Oryza sativa Japonica Group: one gene and its partner. Each later gene encodes a partner of the first gene's protein in a complex. Links are inferred from orthologs where the notes say so. Each region holds a gene or a part of one and is shown on either strand. Other genes may lie near its edges. The genes, in order: glutamyl-tRNA(Gln) amidotransferase subunit A, chloroplastic/mitochondrial; glutamyl-tRNA(Gln) amidotransferase subunit C, chloroplastic/mitochondrial.

What was found.
Region 2: glutamyl-tRNA(Gln) amidotransferase subunit A, chloroplastic/mitochondrial (region 1) and glutamyl-tRNA(Gln) amidotransferase subunit C, chloroplastic/mitochondrial share a complex: the UniProt entries of both Arabidopsis thaliana proteins name them as parts of the heterotrimeric GatCAB amidotransferase (AdT) complex. The link is inferred for Oryza sativa Japonica Group from reciprocal best matches to the Arabidopsis thaliana genes AT3G25660 and AT4G32915.

What each region holds. Positions count from the first base shown.
Region 1 is NC_089038.1:33,240,528-33,252,364, forward strand, and holds glutamyl-tRNA(Gln) amidotransferase subunit A, chloroplastic/mitochondrial, read right to left. Parts: upstream 6,173-11,837; 5' UTR 6,085-6,172; coding exon 5,536-6,084; intron 5,217-5,535; coding exon 4,905-5,216; intron 4,342-4,904; coding exon 4,162-4,341; intron 4,066-4,161; coding exon 3,971-4,065; intron 3,887-3,970; coding exon 3,811-3,886; intron 3,636-3,810; coding exon 3,558-3,635; intron 3,448-3,557; coding exon 3,354-3,447; intron 3,273-3,353; coding exon 3,223-3,272; intron 2,997-3,222; coding exon 2,883-2,996; intron 2,732-2,882; coding exon 2,648-2,731; 3' UTR 2,360-2,647; downstream 1-2,359. Other genes in the region: V-type proton ATPase subunit D, read left to right, coding at 1-75; beta-ketoacyl-[acyl-carrier-protein] synthase III A, chloroplastic, read left to right, coding at 8,002-8,216, 9,066-9,214, 9,776-9,912, 11,178-11,280, 11,381-11,499, 11,702-11,766. UniProt on the Arabidopsis thaliana protein: Allows the formation of correctly charged Gln-tRNA(Gln) through the transamidation of misacylated Glu-tRNA(Gln) in chloroplasts and mitochondria. The reaction takes place in the presence of glutamine and ATP through an activated gamma-phospho-Glu-tRNA(Gln).
Region 2 is NC_089037.1:26,136,836-26,148,415, reverse strand, and holds glutamyl-tRNA(Gln) amidotransferase subunit C, chloroplastic/mitochondrial, read right to left. Parts: upstream 6,558-11,580; 5' UTR 6,460-6,557; coding exon 6,226-6,459; intron 6,119-6,225; coding exon 6,078-6,118; intron 5,685-6,077; coding exon 5,629-5,684; intron 4,890-5,628; coding exon 4,835-4,889; intron 4,755-4,834; coding exon 4,679-4,754; 3' UTR 4,439-4,678; downstream 1-4,438. Other genes in the region: rhomboid-like protein 15, read left to right, coding at 450-589, 2,426-2,477, 2,559-2,612, 3,054-3,128, 3,227-3,232. UniProt on the Arabidopsis thaliana protein: Allows the formation of correctly charged Gln-tRNA(Gln) through the transamidation of misacylated Glu-tRNA(Gln) in chloroplasts and mitochondria. The reaction takes place in the presence of glutamine and ATP through an activated gamma-phospho-Glu-tRNA(Gln).

The DNA of each region.
Region 1 (11,837 bases):
AGGGGTATCTCTGTGGGTGCTGCCACCAACATGTTGGTTGCCGGTGGAGAGAGGGACGAAGACATCATCTTCTGATCATCTTCGGTCATACAGTGATTCAATCGGTGCGTAGTATTGATGCTTTATGCTATTTTTGTGATCTGATATTGGAAACCTCTCATAGATGTGTTCACAGTGGCACATTCTTTTCATAAGAACTACAATTTTAATATATCAGACTTCAGTATTAGTTAAGTTGCATCAATTAGAGATAACTGTTTTTAGGAACAGTGGTTCTTAGATGGATGCAATTTACTTTGTTAGATATGTCAAGATATCAAACTAATGATCCTATTCAAGCTTTGTATCGTTGATTGGAACTAAGCTGCTGTTGACAATAGCCATGATTGATTATATAGTTATTCTTATTAGATGATTGACATTCAACTTCACATTATCTTTTTTTTTTTTGGCAAAAGTGTTGCCAACTGCACGGTTATGCTTTATAGGATTGAAGTGTAGTAAATAAGCTTTAGTAAATGAATATTAGTCACCTATATGACCAATTGACCAGCCAAGCTTCATACCTAGATCGTCTATTGTAGCCATGTGCTAACTAATCGAGTTTAATAGGCAGGTCGGTCACCTTGAATGTATTCCTCTGTGCATGCCATTAAATCAATAGGTGTGGTAGGATCTTACAAATAAAATAGATAAGTGCCAATTTGTAGCATTACTTATATATGGGCTTAAGCATTGCACTGTTTAGTCTCCATGTATAAATTGCAGGCAACATATTAGAGAAGTGAAGTTGGTTTATGTACTTTTAGGAAAGCATCGTGATGGTACATTAGTACTCCTTAAATATCAAGGTTTTATTATTGAGGAGTTTTATGTTTCTTATCAAAATTTTACTTTAGTTTCAATCACATCAACACATCCCAAGATAAATATAAATTGAGTTAACCACTAAAGCAGATAGGGATGGCTGATGTTTGATAGAGAGAGATGGGACATGGTAATGCCAGCATGCCAAGGAGATTAGTTTTGTTTTGCGTAGAAATCATGAGTTGTGTTGTCAGAAGTCATGACAAATGTTAAATGCAGTGCATGTGTATCTGGGTTAAAACTGCAAGCTGATCCTTCAACTCTGAAGGCCAGATGAATTTCAAGTTGGACCTGCTAGTTTGCATGAACCAGAGGTTCACTGGACATGGATTCTTTGTGCTATGAGTCGCTGAGTTGCATTTCCTTTACAAAGCAAACTAATAGCGGAGCCTTTAGTTTACTTTAAAATTTTATGACAGTTCAAATTTATCAAAACCAAGGCCATTTTCCATAACCACTGTCCACTGATGAAGCTGAAGAATAAAAGTTTAGATTATCATTTAATCTTGACAAACTGGAATTGAGCATAGATACATGTGGTCTTTCTGCTTTTTGACAGATGTGCTACCTACTGTGGCTGAAATTGTTTCTTCTGTTCATTTGTGACACCAGCTTTAATAATGTGGACTATTGTAGCATTCACATGTGGAATTAATAACTCTGTTTCCCAAAAGTTTTCACGCTGTTGCTTCTCTTTGCAGTGGTGGAAATAATAAGTTGTGATGCTGGAGCTCCAGAATCGCACCTGTTTATAGAGTGGCGGAGGTTTTGTTTCAGGCGGTAGTCTGGACTCTGTTCATCCAAAAGACCACAAATAATTTGTACTTGGAACCAACCAACGGATGGATTGTTTATGTGCAGTTTTCGTAGTTAATTCAATTGGGCTGTATTTCTTTGCCATGTTCGTTTTAGCTATATATTTGTTTGGAAAGGTGTTCGTTGATTGGGGTTTCGCAAACTGAAGCTGCAGACTCGAAGTGTATTTCGATCTGGTTGAGTAATTCTGTACTCTGTACTGTAGCAGCACACTTTTCGTTCTGAATTGTCGTGGATGGGAAAAGAATAATTAAGCTCTCATTTTGCCGACTGCTGCTAGGATAAAAACCATCTGCGCATAAAGCTTCTCGAGAATTTCACATTTCTATCGATCCTGAAGATTTTCATATAAAGCTGTTCATCCCTTGGGCAGGAAAAATAAATTCCAAAACGGCCTAGCTCAAATCTTCCGGTTAAGTTTCAGCAGTGGAGAGTTTCAAGAAAGACTACTATCCCTCTTTCGATGAGAAAGGGTCAGAATATACATCCTCTATAACTCAGATCGACGGAAACACGTGTGTTACATCTGAAACACATCCCTCTTTCGATGAGAAAGGGTCAGAATATACATCCTCTATAACTCAGATCGACTGAAACACGTGTGGTACATCTGAAACACACCACACTGAAAAACTATCCATCTGCGCAAAACCCAAGACGTTGAGACAACATGAAGTCACGACTCACGAACAGTTCCCTGTCCCTCCCTCTACTATTATTATCCAATATATAGAGGGAAAAAACATAATTAATATGAACCAATTTTGGCCGCGTGTGTGCTGTTTCCAGATGGGCCATCACATGGTCTCAATTCTAAACAACTATTACACGAGAGAACCCAATCAATTATACAAGCATTTAACAAATTGTCTCGGTCAATATACAACATGAAAAGAATCTTGTCTTGAATAGAAAGGGCCTCGAAGCCATGAACAAGGCAGAGATGATTGATGGCGCATTGCAGCTAACTCTCTGCCAGCAATGGTGGGACAAAACTGTAATTCTGGAGCGTTTGCTCAAAGATATGCCCTATTCTCAGCAAATTCCCCTAGTGAAACAGAAATAAAACAGATCATTGGTGGATTTTCAAATAGAAGAAAATTGCTAGAAAAATACAAGAATGAGAAAATAAACTGCCAAGCATGGAACAAGTGATATTGGTGCGCCAGCATTCAAGATCAACAATAGCATTTTATTACCTCACTGAAGGGGGATCCAATCATCTGAAGTCCAACTGGGAGCCCCGCAGATCCACCCTCAACAAATCCACAAGGCACAACCAATGCAGGGAGACCAGCCAAATTAACATTCACCTGCATCAGTCATTAGACTACCACTCCTTAAGATTCTCCTACTGCAGAACGTTTGACATCACTTGTGACCATGAGATTATCTACTAGAGGTTAGTAGTTTTACCAACATGTACCAAATTTTGCAAGAACTAGGAAGTTGCAGAATGCAGCAGACAATGGATTACTTTGGAGCAAACCCAAAAGTAGCTGTAAATCTAAACAAGAGAAATATGCTAAGGATTGTTACCGTCATGGTATCTCCTGCATACATAGCTAATGGATCATTTATCTTTTCACCTGCCAAAATTTATTGAGTTGTCAATCCTGAAGGAAAGCAGTGAAGGAATCATACAATAAATAATCATATTATTAGCATACCTATCTTGTAAGCTGCTGATGGCGCAGCAGGTGAAACAAGAATATCGTATCTTTCCAGAGCTTCTTTGAAGCTTTTCTTAACCAGTGTCCTTACCTACTACAGTGAACGTGATTATTATTTTTTTTTTGGTTGCACAAATGCCTGCTGAGATGTAAAAATTATCAAAATGCAAAGTGCATAGGATGCTACTGTCTTATCATTACCTGTTGTGCTCGTTTGTAGTATGCATCATAGTATCCAGCAGATAAAGCATAAGTTCCCATCAAAATTCTCATTTTGACCTGAAAAATAATCAGAACAATGTTAGATTGTTTGTTTTCTCATGCAAATTACCAGCAAACGATTTGCGGTCCATGTGATGCACAAAAAACTTGCCGTATTGGTTATAGATAGCTAAGTTAGTCATGATAAGTTCCAATAATAAGAGATGGAGGTTGGTGGGAGTTGATGGACTACCTCGTGACCCAGACCGTTAGCCCGGGAACCTCCATAAAGTTCATTCAAGTCATCGCCTGAAACCTGCCTCCCATACCTGTAAACGATACCTGGAAAATATAAATATTTCTAACTTTAAGAATACAGGGAAAATGATGAGATTAAAGTACAGAAATATCACCTGATACCATCATAACGTGATAGATTAGAAGAGGCTTCAGATGAAGCCAGTATGTAATATGCGGGTAGGCCAAGAGAAAATGAAGGCAGAGAAACCTGAGAAGTAGAACAGCATAAATATTTTAATTTTTCAACAACTCAGTGTGAAACAAGAAATAACGTACTTTTTAGTGTAAGAGAAGAGTAACAAACCTCTTCCACCACTGATCCCAATTGTTCCAAGTGAGAAGCAGCATCCTTGATTGATGATATGACTCCAGTTTCTACACCCTCACCAAGAGTTTCTTGAATAATTCCAATTCTCATACCATTTAATGGTTTTGATTCTAGCAAATCTAGTGGGACCAACTCTGATTTATAGTCTGAAACATCCTATAGAAGCAACCAAAAAAAAACAGATTCAGCAAGCCTACGCATTCTGTCTTCTAGCTCCAAATCCAATTGCACATGTGTAAATCTTAAGGTGACCAAAATCATGGTAAGATAATGGAACAAAACTGTAAACCTACCATATTTTTTATATGCAATGTATTAAATCAGAACTTTATAAGATGGAGATGGACAACAGTTAGTTTCTCTTTGCCAAATCAATGTTAAGATTGTTAACCACAAATTTATTACAAGATTGCCATCAGTATCACACCACAACACACTAATGTCAGGATTTATGGGAATGATCAGACATCAAGATAATCAGTCACAGAAAGATAGTTGTCAATGCAACATAGGATCTTGCTGGGCAAGTTTTTGTTTCTGATATCTACATTGCTTAGAAGCTGAGATAAATGTTTTTTAGCCCTAGCTATTAAACTGGAGTATAGATGCCTAAGGATCACTAGATTTCAATTCTGTAACAGTTGAAACAGACAAAAAACATATCAGAATTAAAAAGGTAAAGGAAAAATGTAAGACAAGGATATGTTTCAGTTCCATACATGAGAGCTACTAGTTGAATCCATTTTGTCATGGCCAGCAATTACTGACAAGATTGTCGCAGTGTCAACAACTGATGAACCAAAGCATCCCACAACATCTAGTGATGAAGCATAAGCCATGAGGCCGAAACGAGAAACCCGGCCATAGGTTGGCTTTAACCCTACCACACCACAAAATGATGCTGGCTGTCTCACACTTCCACCTGTATCACTCCCTAAGGATACCACACATTGTCTAGCAGAGACCGCAGAAGCAGAACCACCTGAGGATCCCCCAGGCACACGTGAATCGTCCCAAGGGTTTGTTGTGACCTGCATATACCACCATTAATACCAGTCAGATCACCCCATATCTACACTTTGCTTCAAGCATTATAATGCTTTGTTATCATGTTATGCAACGGTTAAAACCATAGGTGAAGCACTTGCTAAGAAAATACTCCTATGCTACAAGAAGCCAACCAGCGATATGAACTGAGTTTCACACTGATAAGTCCAAATATACAATATCTGTGTTTGATTTCATTGGACTTCACTAACAAATATAAACACATTTTTGCTGTTCTAGATTACAAACTTTAACGAATTCTGACTAGAAAGATACAATGAACTGGTCTTAGTGTATCCAAACCTGAAACCCGGAGCCCTCTGTAGTGCTCCCCATGCCGAACTCGTCTAGGTTAGTCTTCCCCACAACAATGGCGCCCGCCTCACGAAGCCGCCGCACCGCAGTGGCATCGTACGCCGGCTGGTAACCGTCCAGTATTCGCGACCCACCTGTGGAGGGCATATTGGCGGTGCAGAGGTTGTCCTTCACGCCGACGAGCACCCCGGCCAGAGGCCCCACCGCATCCAGCCCCTCGGTGGCAATCCTCCGGTCGAGCTCCTCCGCCTCCCGCTCGGCGGCGGCGTCCGCCACGTGGATGAAGCTGCGCACGCTCGGCTCGGTGCGGCGGAGGCGGGAGAGGTATTCCGCGGTGATCTCCGCCGCGGTCCTCTCGCCGGAGAGGAGCGACTCGCGGATGGAGAGGATGGAGGAGGGGGCGTGGGCCGCCGCGGCCGCCACCGTCTTGGCGGGAGCGGACGGGAGGGAGGAGACGGCGGTGAAGCAGCGGAGGTGGGGAGAAGGGAGGCGTCGGTGGGACAGGAGGAGGCGCTGGGCCTGGAGAGGCGGCGGCATGGCGGCGGCCGGAGGGGAGGCTCTCCGGCGAACGCCGCCGCGCGTGAGTGTGGGGGTTCGGGGTTTTGGGGCGCAGCAGATGAGGCGTGGAGAGGGGAAGGAGGTGTGCATTCGGGCTTGGAGATTGGATTGGGGTAGACGGAATGGATCGTTCGATTGAGGACACGTGTCCCTGTGACGATTGGTGGCCGCACGATCGGAATTGGCGGCCCTTCTGTACTCGAAAAAAAAAGGGACTGCAGCTCCAAGACCATTTCTGCAAAATTTGAGAACGTTTTGTTCCAAAGAGAGCTTAAAAGTTAAAACTAGTTTGTTTTCACATTAGAAACTCATCACATGCGTAAAAAATATATTTAAATGTCTAAATTCACTGTTCTAGATGTACAGTTATTCAATGTTGTAGCTTGTAATTGTCAGTATCGTATAAAAAATAATGATTTGCACCTCTTTTATAAACATATTATTGTTCTAGATATAACTACGTAGTTAAAGAAATGTATTGTTAACCCCACAAAAAAGGTATTGTTAAAAAATATGGAGGCACATTTTTTTTACTTAATTTTAGTTACTCTTTTCTCTATGTTACATCTCATATTTAATCATACCTTTATCTCTCATAATTCATATTTCAAGAACGTAATCAATTTTGTTTATCCTAATTCTCTTATATCTCGTGTATTAGAAAAACTATACTGTAGGTATTAAAATTTAGGACATAAAACGAAACAACTGTTCTTCTTAAAAAATATGACTAAAAGATATAGCCAATAAGAAAATATACCATTACTTATAACCTATAACCCAAATAGTCTAAGATTTCATGAGTTAGTAACACTAAGTATTTTTAAATATAAAATATTTTTAAAATCCTGAAAATGTTTGTCAATAAGCAATGGCTATAGTCAATGATCAAGGAATCAATTCAAATGTGACGGTGCAAAATTATCAATCACAAGCACAAGTAGTCAATCACTGACCTAGAAAATCACATGACATAGCCCCTAGCATTGTAGCTACCATATTATCATCGTGGACTCGTGGGTCGTTTAGAACCTAAATGCATAATAGACAAACCATACGTAAGGGTTAAGACGGTACCATATTAGCACATATGCACATATATATAACTATAATCAATAGAACAATTACTAATTAAATTATGTACGTACTAATAATGTAGGCTTAGAAAAATAGTGCTACTAATGTACTATATTTAACTTTATAAAGAAGAGAATAAACGTACATCTACATCTCATACATCCACATATAGATCAGCTATGTTAAAAGAACATATGTATATATACCATAAAATTTTATGGAATTTTATGTAACAATATCATGTCTACTGCTAACATATTTTTATTCTCAGTCGACGCAGTAACCAAAAAAAAAAAAAGAACGCCTCACGGTCACAATCTCACATTTCTCATCGCGCAGGCAAGTCATGACTGGGAAGAAGAAAAGAAACCACGGTGAAGCACGCAACGCCCCCTGAGGTTGAACGTGCCCGAAGGCGAAACCGAACACCTGAGCCAACCCAGCCCCTAGATTGTGTCATCAGTCATCACCCACATCGCTCGCGCTCCCATTAAAAAACCCCCTCCCCCCTCCTCCGGGCGGAGCTCCCGAAGCTCGCCCCCCACCACCCCCTCGCGCGCGGCCCCCACCCACCCCACCCTCGCAGACATCACCGCCGCCCACCGTTCCCATCGCCGCCGCCGTCCTCTCCCCCGCCCGCGCCTATATCATCTTCTCCCCCCCACCCTCGCGTACAGCAACGCATGCCCCCCCTCCTCCCCTCCCCTCCCGCTCGCCGCCATTGACCGAGTGATTCGCTGCCTCGCTCGCGAACTCCTACCCCGCCCGAGCCCGAGCCCAGGCCGCGGCCGCCGCGAGATCTCCGGCTGCTTTTCAGGTATGGTCGCCGCCTCCGGCCTCGCGCCGCCGCGGCTGGCGGTCTCCTGCCCGCGTGCGGCGGGGCGCGGCTGCGGCGGACACCACCGGGTTGGCTTCCTCCGATCCGCTCCCGTGGCGTTGGCGGGGCCCGCGGCCGCGCAGCTCCGGTGCTGCGCCTCCACCGTCGACGACGGCGTCGTCTCCGCCGCGGCGGCCCCCAAGCCCCGCCTCCCCAGGTAAACCCCCGCGGTGCCTCTGTGCCGGTGTGCCCCACGCGTGGGCGCGTGGCTCGTGGTCCAGTGGTTAAGCACTTTGGCTGCGAGATGTGGCTGGTTGTGTAAAAGTTAAAGAGATCCTACAGTCCGTTCACCTCGCGCAGAAGGTACCATTTGCGTGTTGTTCGATCGCGAACGGTGTTACCATTAATGTGATTTTTGTGCGTACTGCGGGGCTTTCCCCTGGTTTCTGTAAGAATGGTGCGATTTTTCAGTTGGCATGCTGTTGATTTAGCCTGGGTTTTGACTTAAATCACGCATGCTGCTCAATGTGCTTTGGTTGTTCAGTGGTAGAGGGTTTTAGGTGGGAAATTTGCCGTTGCCTGTGATGATTGTTCATTTATTAGGTTGGTCGGATCGGAGTGCCACCGGGACTTTCCTTATAATCTTGTACTAGGGGTTTATGTGGGCTTCTTATTGTCGAAATGCACTAGTTTTATGTAGTCAGATTGCTATAACTGCTCAGAATCTCTGATATTTTGATACTCCATTGAGATATTTTGATACCCCATTGCTGATGTGAATTTGCCTCAACTCGTTTATTGTTACTATGTGTGACCGGAATAGGCCGTTTCCGTGTATAGCGGAAGAATGGTACCTCATGGTTCCTCTTATTATAGACCAGCATTGTCATTAAATGTGGTGGCAAATGATGCAGTTGATGTACCTTTCACTGTATTGCAGCACTATTGCTATGGTTGGTCCAACAGCACTGGTTGGACTTACTCGTTGATCTGCACTTTTTTTGTTAAGGAGTCTAAATTATTTTCGACTGTGGAATGAACTCATAAAATTAATGGGAACCTGTAGGGTCGTCGGTATGGGTTCAAAACTCATTGGATGCGGATCGGCCACTCCATCGCTTAGCGTTTCAAATGATGACCTTTCTAAAATAGTTGAAACATCAGATGAATGGATCGCAGCACGGACTGGGATTCGGAATAGGCGAGTTCTTTCAGGTACTTCTAGTTCACCTTATTCCATCGAGTTTCATGACAAGTTAGTTTCATTAGCGTCAGTTGTGCCTCCTCTATGTGGATGCATAATAAATATTTGTGGCACATCATCATAGTTGATTGGTACATCACACCACCATTGATGATTGAAGTATTTTTACATCGTGGACTTGTTGATTCTATGAAGAATGTTGATAGATTATAGATGAACATATGTTCTGCTACAAGGCATTTTTGTGTCTATGGTCTAGGCTTAACAGCATCATTCAGATACCATGGCTCACAGACTATGTACGAAGATAGATAAGAGTGAATTTTGATAATTTGCTGTTACCAAAGTAAAACTCCAGTAAACATGTATCTTGTTACTGTTCCAAGATTGTATATAAACAGCGTGGCACTTTTCACATATTTATTCTAGTTATCTTTAATACAATAGATGTGAACCACACCATTGAAAGTTGGTCTTTTGTGTTGTGAACGTATTATGATCAATAGCTATTCAGGTGTGCAGCGTGCTTCATTTGTTTATTCTCAGGAGTAATTTATAGTTTTCATGTTTAGGAAATGAGACACTGCGCGAGCTTTCAGTACAGGCAGCAAAAAAAGCTCTTGAGATGGCTCAAGTAAATGCTGATGATGTTGACCTTGTTCTCCTTTGCACGTCTACCCCAGATGATCTGTTTGGAGGTGCTGCTCAGGTATGGCTAGAAATATGCATTAGCATTGTACTATATTGTAGTAGTTATCGTTCACATGTTTTCTTACTACTACTTACTAAAAATATTAAGAGAAAGTAATTATCTCTCAACCTAATATATGTCTTCAAAGATCAGAATTGCATGACATTCCCAATTGCAAGTAAGAATATTAGTATGTTAGATGTAAATTATGTTATGTTCTGTAAAGTAATGATATTGGCCCCAATCCCATGGACCATGGTCTTGTGTGTATTTACTTCTTAATTAGTTTTACATGTATGCCACCTGTGGGTATTGTGCGAGTTACTGCTTATTCCTGGTTTTGATTAAAGTCATCTCATTCTTGATAATCTACATCTGTTTGTATTTTAATGTATAGCATAACTAGAGTGGAATGGGGTTTTCTTTAGCGTTAGGTTTATTCAATGAATTGTTGTTCAACTCCAGTTGCTAGTATATATTTCATGTTGGAGATTGACACTTTTATATTTACTCCCTGACCACTAGTTTTTCTATTATGAGTCTTTTTATCCTTAGGAGACATTGAGTGGTAGAGGTATATTCTACTGTTAATCACGATGTATGTACTCCCAAGGAATAGGACCATAAAAATATCTCCTGTTACACTCCCATCTGTTGACTTGTTTTCTCTGTTTTAGACAAACATCTTAAATTTTGACCTCTAATATGTAACAAACAATTGAGATTGATCATGTGAAATGGTAGCATAGAAGTTTTTTTGTGGGAAAGATTCAAAATATTATTAAATTTATACATAGCTATTAAAATGTTACGACAACAAGGTGTTGGAGATCACGATAGTATCCAAAACATCATATATTCTTGAATAGAGGAGTATTATGTTGTTATACATGAAGGTAAGTATATATTACGAAAGTGTGTTTCATATTATATCCTGCAATACACACTTGACCAATCTCGATAATTTTTGACATACTGATGGTCAAACTAAAATGTTTGGTTGCACATTTGTATTACTTCCTATATGTAGCATCAGATGGAGTAGCTATAAAATAATATATACACAATAACACAATGAATCCGGTCTTTGTATCTTTCTTATTTCCTTCTATGTTTTCTTGCCTGTTTAGTATTTTAATCGCTTTGAACTACATCTACCAGTAAAACTATAAATTCCCATCATAAATGTATATTGATTTATTAACTTGACTGCTCTCTTATGTTCTTTTAAAAAAAGATGTGCACAATTTTGCATTAAAAACATCTGGTAAAAATATAAACAGGTGCTGGCGGAGGTGGGATGCGCAAATGCATTTGGCTTTGATATCACTGCTGCATGTAGTGGGTTTATTATTGGTTTAATTACGGCTACTCGTTTTATCAAAGGTAACTCTTTTTTTTTTCCTTGTGAGGATTGTTGGCTATCAAACACTCACAGGAGGTTGTTGTTGTCACCTTGTTCGATTAATATATGACAATTTCGTAGGTGGAGGCATCCGGAATATTCTAGTAATTGGTGCCGATGCTCTTTCACAATTTGTGGATTGGACAGACAGAGGTACATGCATCCTCTTTGGTGATGCTGCTGGTGCTGTTTTGGTTCAGGTATTTGTTACTTTTGCTGAAATATCGATATGCTTTCCACTATCCACCAAATTATTACTCCGTACTAAGTATGAGCGTCCCATGCTTAAGTTGGTTTTCATAGACCATTGTTGGGCAAACATGATAATTTATATATTGCAACTGTATAGTGGTACGCATTGTACACAATCTTTTGCAAGTTATTTAATTCACAGTTTTTCAGGCATGCAGTGCTGATGAAGATGGCTTGCTAGGTTTTTGCGTTCAAAGTGATGGCAACGGACAAAAGTGTGACTTCTTTTAATATTTAACTGAGATCACATTTCTGCTACCATGTCTTATTAATTTCTCTGTTTACC
Region 2 (11,580 bases), on another chromosome or scaffold:
GGACAAAAAATGTAGCAGTAATTGATTTTGTTGTGAATTTTGTACAACATGATTCAGATGTGTATTCCTTTTTGATAGAAACACTAGTTACAGTTGTTAGTACATGGATTCTTAAAAGATGATTTCAAAGGTTATAGTTGTATACTAGTAGCTCTGTTCCTACTTTCATAGACTGCATTTTGGTTCTCGATCAATTATGTTTTTTGAAACCTCTATCCTGGTTTTTCGGGTAGTTGACTTTATCCCCTTTATGATAGTTCAATTCAAGTTTATAGCAGTTCTCTTTTGTTTTGTTTGTGCACACTGGGGTGATGCTCTTCCAAGAAAATATATGTGCCTAAGCTCACTGGATTGTTTGTTTTCATTTGCTCAATACTTTGCATGGATCTGAACATTATATCCCAGAAATATGTGTTGAGATGAACACCATACTGAATATTCTCTTATAGGAACAAGATCCCAGGTTTCCAGGGAGAGCACGGACACTTAGTTCTGCTGGAACTGAACCAACTGCAAGGGAGGCAAGTGCAAATTTGCATGCTAGCTTGTTGGATAGCACAACTCCAAGTGATCCGCTTACGAGTTCACAGTAATGCATTTTCTACTTGGCATTTCTTTAATACGGTAGACATCTGGTGAATATCACCTATGCATTGGAACCAGAAGCTCATATGAAGCCTGAATAACTTGAATATACAAAACGATCTTTTCTAAAACAGTACTTAATAGTTTAAATAAATAATTGGTTTGGTCATTGGTACTCCATAGCATTTTGTTGGAGCACCTTCTGTTGTGTTCTTTTTCTATATCAGACTAAACATTTTGTTAGCTCTAATTAGCATTTACCAAGTTCTGTTTCTTTAGTCAGTTTGAATGTTTGCATTATGCAATTAGCACTATTCGTCCCAGTAATAAGTCCCTGTTCAATTAGTTAGTAAAATGATATGTTTTGCAAAGGTAAGCTCAAAGTTTTGAAATTCCGCACTACACAGGTGAGAACTGAGCAGTGCTCAAGTGATCCTTGCTTGGCTAGTGCACCACCTCAAGTTCTGCTCAATGGAAGCTACCCAAATTGAGCTTGGTTCAGATGCATTCATGGTTGATTTATCATTAATAGGCTAATCTTGCTATACGAAATTGTAATTCTTGAAATAGTGTACTTAAAATCAAACTCCATAAATCTCGCCGCAAACTTGCAGTATCCAAAGAAGAGTATGATATAAAAGGTGGAGATACCAAAAAAATAAGCTTATGATGACTCAAATTTGCATGCAAATGATTTCCAAGACCCCAGATCGTGCCAATTGGTACCCTCAATTCAGGATTGTTGTTAGGGCTCATAATAGGAACAGTTGGTATTCATTTCTGGTTATAATCTTTTAGAATATATTGGCTTTGATTTTGAACTCAAGGCAGACTTGGGATATGCACACTTTCCTTTTGAGTTGAGTTAATTTCGAGCATATCAAGAGAAGCGCATAAACTTTGACTTCTTGCCCACAAACATGAGTCATCTAACACAGCCTTCTTGGGATAAAAAAAAAACTTATTTTGATGCAAATAGTCACTTACAGGATTAGGGAGCTTTCTGGAATTGCAGAATTCCTGGTGCAGGATTGAATAATTAAAATGCTTTGTTTGAATTTTCTGCCAATGTTATGATCAAAGAACATATCAAGTATTTCTCAAATAATGCAAAATAAAAAAGAGAAGTACTGAGACACTTCATAAAACAAGGCTTGTCAGGTAAAAAAAAAAATCGACACTTGATTTTTTTTGGCTAGAATTGGGTAATCTGGTGGGAACCAGCTGGTTCCTGCTGGTTATTCTAGCTTTCACAGGATAGGTTTTTTGTTGTTGTTCAGCAATTATATATGTTGTCCTAGTGCCTATAAGCGTTCATCTCATTTGATAGCTACAACTAATATTGTCAGTTTTATCCAGTTAGTGATTTATGCCTTCTAAAATGATTAAATATTTAATGCTTATACTAATTCAATAAAATGACCCATCCCAAAAAAGAAAAGAATCGATGCAATGACGCTAATGGAGTTGGCATCCTTTTTAGTACTGCTGTAATTTCAATTTCTTCTCTGACATTTGAGATAGCTATTAACTCAGGTAATGGTTTACTTCCACAGAGTTAAAGGATATTTATAATCAGAAGTCACCCTATATACTGTTATGAGATTTATGACTTAATCCTTACCATGATATCATCTACTTGCACTTCATAAACAATGTCTCATGTTTTATGTAAGATGCCCCTGAGAAGCCAGTCACTGGCTTATGTGAACTTTCTGATAGTGATATATGAGAAATATCAAGCAAAACCATCCTTAAGATTTAAGAACTGTGACACTTCTAATACGAGAATAAACCTAGTTGTTTTGTAGTTCTTACTTCTGGTTTTCCATTACAATAGGCATCCAGCAGCAAACACAGTCAGAGCTGATGCAACTGTAGCAGCTGACCAGGTTCTGTGTTATGTACCTTTTAATGATTTAGTATTGGATGTTGATATTGATTTAATCATGATAATTGACTATCTTTTGCAGGTTGATACATTTGATGAAGAACTTAAGAAGCTGGTTGGAATGGGCTTTGAAAAGGTAATTAATGCCCTGTCCTAGGATGAGATTCTCCTAGCAATCGCCTTATTTCACTTGTGCTAGTTCACTTATCATGCCCAACTCAGCAGTTTTAGCCATGCTAAATTTGGAGCAAAGAAGTAAAACAAATGGACAATTTGTTCTCGATACTCATCTATCTGATTAAATAGTTGTCAGATTTTCAACTAATTGCGTTGATGGCCATGTCAGACTCTATTAATGTTGGGAAAATCTGAATCCTTATTGATGTAAAATCTGAATCTTAATCAGAAAAGAACAGGACCTATGTCAGACACTATTATTGTTGGGAGACTCTAGCTGAAAGTTATGTCGCATGGTTTCATAAGAGCCCACAAATTATTTCAGCTATACACTAGGTATTTGTGTTGTCCATATGGCCACAGAAAGCCTTCCACTGATGTATTGGTTACCTTGCTGCAGACTCAAGCTGAAGTTGCTCTTGCTGCTGCCGATGGAGATCCAAATGTTGCTATTGAGATTCTCATGAGTCAGCAGGTTTGTCTTGATATTTTACTAATTTATTCATTTGTTGTTTAATATGGTTCATCCTGACATTATTAAGGTTTTGTTTGTTGCTTTGTCCTTATTCCTAGGGTTAAAGGTTTCAACATCACTGATAGCAAGCGATGGAGGCTCAATTTTAGGGTGTAGATTCTGGTTAGTAAAATTCAAGAATGGACCATTCTGGGCAATTGTTTTTGCCAACATGGTTATATTGAAGATGCCCTTAATTGTGCTTCTATGAAGGTCAAAACTACAGTTAACAATGACAATAGTTGCATTGAAGGCTGTTTCTTGATGTATTAGTAAAACAGTAATTGATGCTCGGGGCGCTCATTTTGTTGGCAGATCTTCACAATTGCTATTTGGCAATATGTCTAGCTAGACAATAAAGCTTTTACAAAGGAAAAAAAAATCGGTGCATACTTACAATTGATTCATCTTGAGCCAACGGAGCAGGAGAAGGGGGGCCGTTTGGTTTGCTACCATTTTCAACCCTACTAAATTTTGGCAATGGCAAACATTGTTTCAATGGCTAAAGCACGAGCCTCCAATCTTGTTTACATATGTGCTAGAATTTGTTCAGATCGGTGATGTGCGCTAGAATCTTGTTTAGACCCCCCATATAGGTGTAAAAGTCTCAAATTGGATATGCTCCCAGGTCCCTATTATTCATACTGTGCGCTGGTTTGGAGCGCCCCAGGGACTGCTTGTCCAATGTGTTTACAATCTTCTGATATTGCAGAAGATTGAGCACCTTTTCGTTCAATGTGCTTGCAATCTTCTCAACCGTGTATGGCACCTGATGAGTGATGATGGGACTGGACGGGAGTGGTTTTTGAGCTGCCTGGCGAATCTGGGTATGGATCTTAGTGGTGGCTGCAGGGTAGGCTGCGTTTTCGGCTGAGCTACAGGAACGCTTTTGACTCGGGTTTCATGCTCGGGGTGTTTGATCAGAAGTATCGGCCGGCTGAGCGGCTCTCCTGCGACATCCGCGAAGAGGTTGGCGTCTGGAGGGAGGCAGGGTTGTTTAAAATCTGTAACGGCTGAAATGCTGTAAAGTAGAGAATCTCAGCCGAGTTTCCTGGTTTGACAGCTCTGTCGATGTTTGTAACAACACAAATTTTACCCTTCAATCTTAATAAGATTTGGCCGACCTGGCAAAAATATAGAGCACCCAAGGGCCAAATAATATACAGCATAGTCTATCCAAGTGCCAAATAATCTCATGGGCTTTTATCCAATCTAATTCACTTTAGTAGGATTCACAAGAGATTCAATCATCAGTTTGTAGATGGCTGCATGCATTTGAGAATTTTTGAACAGAAATCAAGCATATCAAATCAAATGTTTCTGGTCTGAAAATATAATACAATATTAAACTATTAAAAATAGCTTCCATAGTAAACAAATTACAAATGTTGACATCATGATCTCGAGCCATATCATTCAGTTGAAATGATACTAAACTTGACTACTAAGATTTATTGCTAAACCATGTTACATTGTGCAACGGAAAAAAAAATTGATCTACAAATTACAGGTCATTCTTTGTTCAGCACTCTTGGCACCTTGATGTATGGATCATCATAGCTTGGGACAGACTCTATTATGGCATCTCTGCGGTGATGAAAAAAAATAGTGTTCATCACATGACAATAGTCTAACGGAAGACATGGCTAGAGTTATTTGTTTACTACCTGTTAGTAAATGTTTCAGGCCTGTCTTCTCTCAATGAATTACCTGCCGCAGTACCTGTGGACAAGACAGTCAAGCGCAAAGCAGGTAACAGTAACACACTGCAGTGGTAGGACGACATAACTAATGGAAACAATATGTAGTAGGACATTTGTGCAAAGATGCAATGTAGTGAAGAGTAAGTCTATACAGTAATTTTCTTGAAAGCAAACCAAATATGTGTATGAAAGCATTGAAATACTGAACTAAAGTTAATTAATGAAGAACGCCAATAGAACACTCAGAACTCAGAAGACTCGCTGTCTTGTTTTGTTGCATATCATAACTCAAAATTCATTTTTCAAACCATAAGTAATTGGTTGTGTTATCCCTCTTATTTGGTTCTTTGATTTCAGGTGTGTAGCATGTAGCATAATTCAAGTAAAATGACAGGGATTAAAATGCAAACCATGCGTGCGGTCAAATGCAGCACTAAAAAGTGAAGCATGCATAAACACGTCAAGATTCCAAAACCATATGTATAAAAAAAAACATTAGTTAGTTGCATTGCTCAGTTATGAAATAACTCTACTCTGATAGTCAAATCAAGAAAGATAGTGTATCACGACCTAGACGATTGCACAAAACTGAACTGTATCAAGAATGAAGCAAATGGCTAACTGCCAGTTGAACTACAAACCTCTACTTTGTAATAGGCTAATAGCTAACTGAGTTACTCTGAGTCATTTTACCAAATCATATGATAGGACCAAACAAGCAATAGTTCAAGATGATATGCAAAGATCAGGACGAATACCAGCTCTAAGTGAAGGCTCAACAGATTCAAGATCGACGGCTTGAAGTTGCCCAAACCTGTAACGACAATAAAAAAGTAAGGAAAGAAGATTTATAATTGTATTAAACGCGATGCATGAACATAAGTTTACTTCTGTGCTCCAAGGTTCTTCTCAATACAAGTATAACCTCATCACAGCACATACAACACCACAAGGATTTATCACATGTCTCTCTGATCATCCCACAAACTTAAGATATAGCAACAAGAACCATCCTATTTGCCATGAACACCATATGATGTTCTAGTTACTTTGTTATGAAATAACAATCCGATGTTCTAGTAACCATCCTAGCCTAATCTGCATTACTTTGTTATTACAGACTCTTATCTGCTCCAAACTTGCGAACTTCAAAGTACTGAAAACCAAATATCTGAATTACGCATAGGGAGGAACAGAAACAAATTACCAATCCACCACCTGCCGAATCTTCGGCGCGAACTCCTCAGCCTACCAGGCGAGAGCACACACAGGCACAACAAGCAAAGCATCATCAGCCTCCGTCACAGAGAGTTTCTTCTCATCGAGAGACAAGAGAGATAGAGAAGTGTGCTGACCTCTTCCGGCGAGAGAGAGATGCGTGCCGCGTTGGCGAGGCGGGGCAGGTCCGGCGGCTCGAGAGCCCCACTCCCTGCCGCCGCCGCCGCCGCCGGGATACCGGGCGTCACGTAGGGAGGTGAGGAGGAGAGGGAACGCCGCCGCAGCAGCAACCATTGGTTCCTCGCAGACTGGTTCCGCGGCGGCGCGGCCCAGCGGAGCCTCGGGATGGCCGAGGCGGCGGCGGAGAGCATGGCCGTCGTCCGCGGCTACCTCCGGCGAAGGATTCGAGGAACAGACTCCGGCGGCGGCGGCGGCTTCTGGGTCTCTCGGATTTGGGCCGGGGAGGATTATCCACTGCTACTATCCTGCCCTTCCATCTGCACCGTCAGATCTTGTATCTACGGCTGAGATTGGGGATGCGCAACATTCGCACTCCAAAACCATAGGAGAAGCAACATTTGTTCATTTACTCCCATCCCCGGCACAGGAATCCCTTCAAAATTGGTTAGTGCCCCCCAAAGGCATTTCTAGAACGAGAAGTAGGGGCATGTTTGGAACAGCTTCAGCTCCAACTCTATCTTTTCTGGAGCTGGAGCTCAGCCAAACAGTTTCAGCTTCACCTAAAATAGGAGCGAAGCTAGGTGGAGCTCTCTCACAAAATAAACTAGAGTGGTGGAGCTGGGTTTAGATAGCTCCACAACTCTACTTCAGACCTAACTCCATCCGACTCACGTATGACTGTGTCGAACCAACCAATCACGAAGTTCATTGTCATTCAAGTGGGCCCAGTTGAAAACAAATTTGTACGTGTGCAGGTCGGAGTCATACATATAGTAATTATGTTCTAGAACTCATAAAATGCACAAAAATTCTAAGGAGATTTTGAAGAATCAAAATGGATGCATGAAGAGTTGACAACGAAGGAAAGGTTCATATTTGCTGGAAAGTCCGGGCTAGTCTAGTATTTTTATGTTGTGGGTTGGAAATTCTGGATATTGAGAGTTAATTTTGAATCTCCAAATTGAAAGCTTGGCTATGTTTGAAAGCTAGTTTAAATTTTGCTTCTTTTTTTTGCCGCATATGAAACGAGAAATGACATTACCGATTAGTTAAGTATTAACTATTATAAACTTAAAAAAATAAGTTTGTTTAATTTTCTAAAAGAAACTTCCATATAAAAAATATTTACAAAAAAGAACGTACATTTAGCAATTTCAAAAGCATATTCATGGTAATCGAGGGGATTGTAAAACTAAATAAATAAGGTTTCAATCACAGCCTAAATTAAAACTGTAAGGAGGAAAATGTAAGATGGAATTTCAGTAGTTAACAATTTGGAATTAATAACTTGGTTCAATCAACAAAGGCTGTGTTTAGATCCAAAATTTGGATCCAAACTTCAGTACTTTTCCATCACATCAACCTGTCATACACACACAACTTTTCAGTCACATCATCTTCAATTTTAACCAAAATCCAAACTTTGGATCTAACTAAACACAGCCAAAGTATTGAGTATACCACAGCTTAAAGTTTGAACTTAAAAATTTGGAATTCATTTCTTTTAGTGTTTAAGTAGGCAAGTAGGGAGCATATCAATTCCCACTTCTAAAGCAATGTTCAAAACAAAGGAGTGGCCATACTTAATCTGTTTCTACCTTTATGTCAAAGTAGCCATGATGACCATCAGTAGTTTAATGGCCTAGATCACTATATGTGCCATCATTTGGCTATTAGCTCATTTTTTTAAAACAAAATTATATGAACATCGCCTACATTTAAGGGTCGGCTGTATCTAGAATAAATTACAACATGACTTTTTTATGCAAGGAAAAATCATTAGGATGAAGTCCTACTTGTAATATAAAACATATGCTTTTATTGTTTATGAATTAGGGTTAAGTATCTACAGACATCTTAATTTTCATAATTAACATCGATAACATGAGCTCCTTGAATGAATTGTACTATGTCATTTGAAGCTCTCAGCTCGTAGATATGGTACTGTCTTCAATCGCTTTTGAACTGTCAAAAAGTTTTAACTTTTTCGTCAAAGTAACTTGCATGCATGTGTTTCCTCGAATTCCAAATGTAGAAGAACTTCTTAATTACCTTTCGTCTTTCCTCCCCGTTTGTGATTGCTAACCAGTCCTCCTATATGTTAACTCAAACAAATGATTCATCTTTTTTTACTGCAATATACATGAAGAAAAATAAAATCATTCGAGTTTTTTTTTGTTGTAGTATAGAAATACTATGTAAAAACAACTTATATTATAATTAGGATCAGAGAAAATATCTTATACTTTTATGGGTCTTTGCGAGGTCAACAAAGCTTTCGTCGTGCAAGCTAATTGAGTAACGAAACACTTTCTGAATGAAAATAATTGCTGGTAATGATGACTATTTACAAGTAAAAAATGCTCCTCGAAGTGGAACTGTGGAAGAAATGTTTTAAGTAGTACTTCCTCCGTTTATAATATAAAACGGAGCGAGAAACTGAAAAGGCACTAGATTTTTCTCAGCTATTTCAGATTATTAGTGTGGATTATTTGTTTCACATCTCTATATATATATATATATATATATATATATATATATATATATATATATATATATATATATATATATATATATATATATATATATATAAACTACTTTTGGTGTGTGTATTGCATTCTTTAACAATGAAAAACAACACGTTGTCCTCTCATATACGTCACGTAGTTCATGTAGCCGACGGATGCTCGATAGTAACACACGTGAGCCGCCGGTAGTGCCATGCGCACCAACTGGTTTCAGACTGCGCCATGAAGAAAAGTGGTCGAAGCCGTCCAATATAATCTTTACCAACCAACCAACTATACTAGCAGTAGTACTTCGTAGTAATTAACCACGATAACTTTGTTGGCCACTAACAAAGGAAGTGCCATCCTGAGAGTCGTGACGGCAGCAGCCAGGTGGGCCCAGGTTTCCCCTAATCCGTCCAGAGTGCTCCTTCGCCTCTCAATAAAAAAAAGCCCTAGCTACTCTCTACTCCGATCCCCCGCTCCTGCAGCTGCCTGTAAACCAGCGTCTCATCTTTCAGCTAATGCTTATCAGCTAAATTTAAATTATTTTATTTTTAAATTTACAGTTGATTTTAAGACTTTTTATGGTAGTTTATTTTTCAGCTTTTATTTTTAGATCTTCAAGAACACGTATAGCATGTATAGTGGTATCTAATAATGGACTCTATTCGTTATCATGTAATTAAATTTGGTGACGTGAAAAAAGAGAGGAAAGGAAGAAAAAACAACAACAGATTAGAACCGATTCTTAGCATTTATTATCGGAGAATTTATTGTATGAGTGTGGAGAAAATGAAAGAAGTATTAAAAAAAATTATTTAGCGTACTAATGATTTAGAAATCTTATTGTCTTTACTATTGTAGGAGAATAGTATCTAGTGATATTAATTAATATAAATAGCTCATATTAAACTCTACTTTTCTACGTGCCCTATAAGTTTTATTGATAAATTATTTTTTTGTTTTGCAAATATACCATGAAACGAAGGGCCTGCAGCATTCCGTATTTCCGTTCAAACTGTGAAGAGGAGGAGGACAAAACGGAAAGGCCCAGCTCAGCCAAGCACGCAGACGCAACGGCAACGGGAAAGAGAAACAAAAAGTGGAAAATGGCCGACGCTGCCGTGTGGGCCCCACGTCCAGGTGGGGGCCCTATTTATTCCGAGCCCGATCCATCACCCAGACGACACCCACCGCGCAAGGAAACGAAGCGCGGTTTCCGTAGCGCCGCCGCCGCCTTCGCCGCCGCGGGCACCACTCCCATTAAGACCGGATCAGCTCTCTCTCTCTCTCTCTCTCTCTCTCTCTCTGTCCGTTGCGCTCGTCTCCTCCTCTCGCCGCGCCGCCGCCCCCCGCCCCCACGATCGACGACTCGCCGCGCCGCCGCCGCCGCCGCCGCCAACGCATGCAGGTAGTGATCCTGATCCCTCGCCGCCGGAAAGCGGCAACAGTTTCTCCTTGTTCCGTCCGCGTGTGCTTCTTCCCGCCGCGCGCCGCGCGCCATTTGCTCTTTCGATCGGCGGGCGGTTGTTAATTTTGTGGGTTGATGGGGGTGTAGATCATCAGGACGAAATTTGCCTTCTCCAACTCTGCTGCTAGAGCGCTTCATTCGGGAGAGGGCACAACGCGGATCGAATGCGCACTTCCACATTTATTTCCTTTTCTCTTTGTTATTACCAAAAACATTTTTCTTCTTCTTCATTCTTTTATTTTTTTTGGTTCCTGGTAGTTCGATTCATGCCGGAATAGATTCCGTTGGTCACTGTCCAATGTCCATGTCCCCTGTTCCTAATTCCTTTGTGAGCCTTTTCTTTTTCATCTGACGTGTGAGTTGAGTTGTCAGTCGTGTTTACACTAATCCATTGCATTTGTCCATGTAAAGCAGATGATTTGCTTTTCCTGGGTGAGTTATGAGTCACATGCAATTGCTTCTTAACCTGCACAACCTCTAAATTAAGCCAAAAGGCCTAGTCATGTTATCCAGATTACTTGTACTGGCCATCTAAAAAAAGGATTACTGTTGTTGTTTGTTCTTCAAGCGATTGATACTGACTTCGTGTCATATTAGGACATCCAGATCAGTTAAATGGATGGTTTTCTACGTCAGGTATTACAAAGTCAGCTCTCATCTTATTGTCTAACCACATACCTTATTGTTTTGAATGAAGTCTTAACACATATTATGATTCTAACTTGATCCATTAGTGATATGTGCTTTTTGGAAGATTCTAAATATGTGGTCTCTGTTTTCCTTGAAAGGAACTACTTTCAACATACGTGGTCATGTAATAATGGAATGTATTCCTAGAAGTCAGTACAAGTGTGCAATCCGTTCAAATCATTGTCTGCTACTTTTCTCAGCGTGTTGTCGTCTTATCCTATTCCAACGAGGGGCAACTCCTATCTGTTTTTGGTGGGCTTGTGGCCAGCTGGGTTGATAAACATTGCCACATGTTCAAGTTTTTGTTCAGTGCTGAGCGCAAGCAACAAACCAAAATGGGGGGAACAGTAGTTTCTTGTTTTGTTTTCTTTAAGTTGAACTAATATTTTTTTTAAAAAAAAGACACAGCTAATGGCTTATGTATGATATTAGTTTTTTTTAGGATCATAAGTTTTGCACCTTTTATGGTCCATATTTACCATCTTATTAATTTTTAACCATTGTAATTGTGCGATATACCTGCTATGTCAAGTAAGCTTTTGTTATGTACTAAAACTATCTGTCTGATTTAATGCATGCAAGCCTAATTTTGTTCCTTGCTACAAGTTATGATATTTTTTAGGGTGGTTCATCGCTACAAG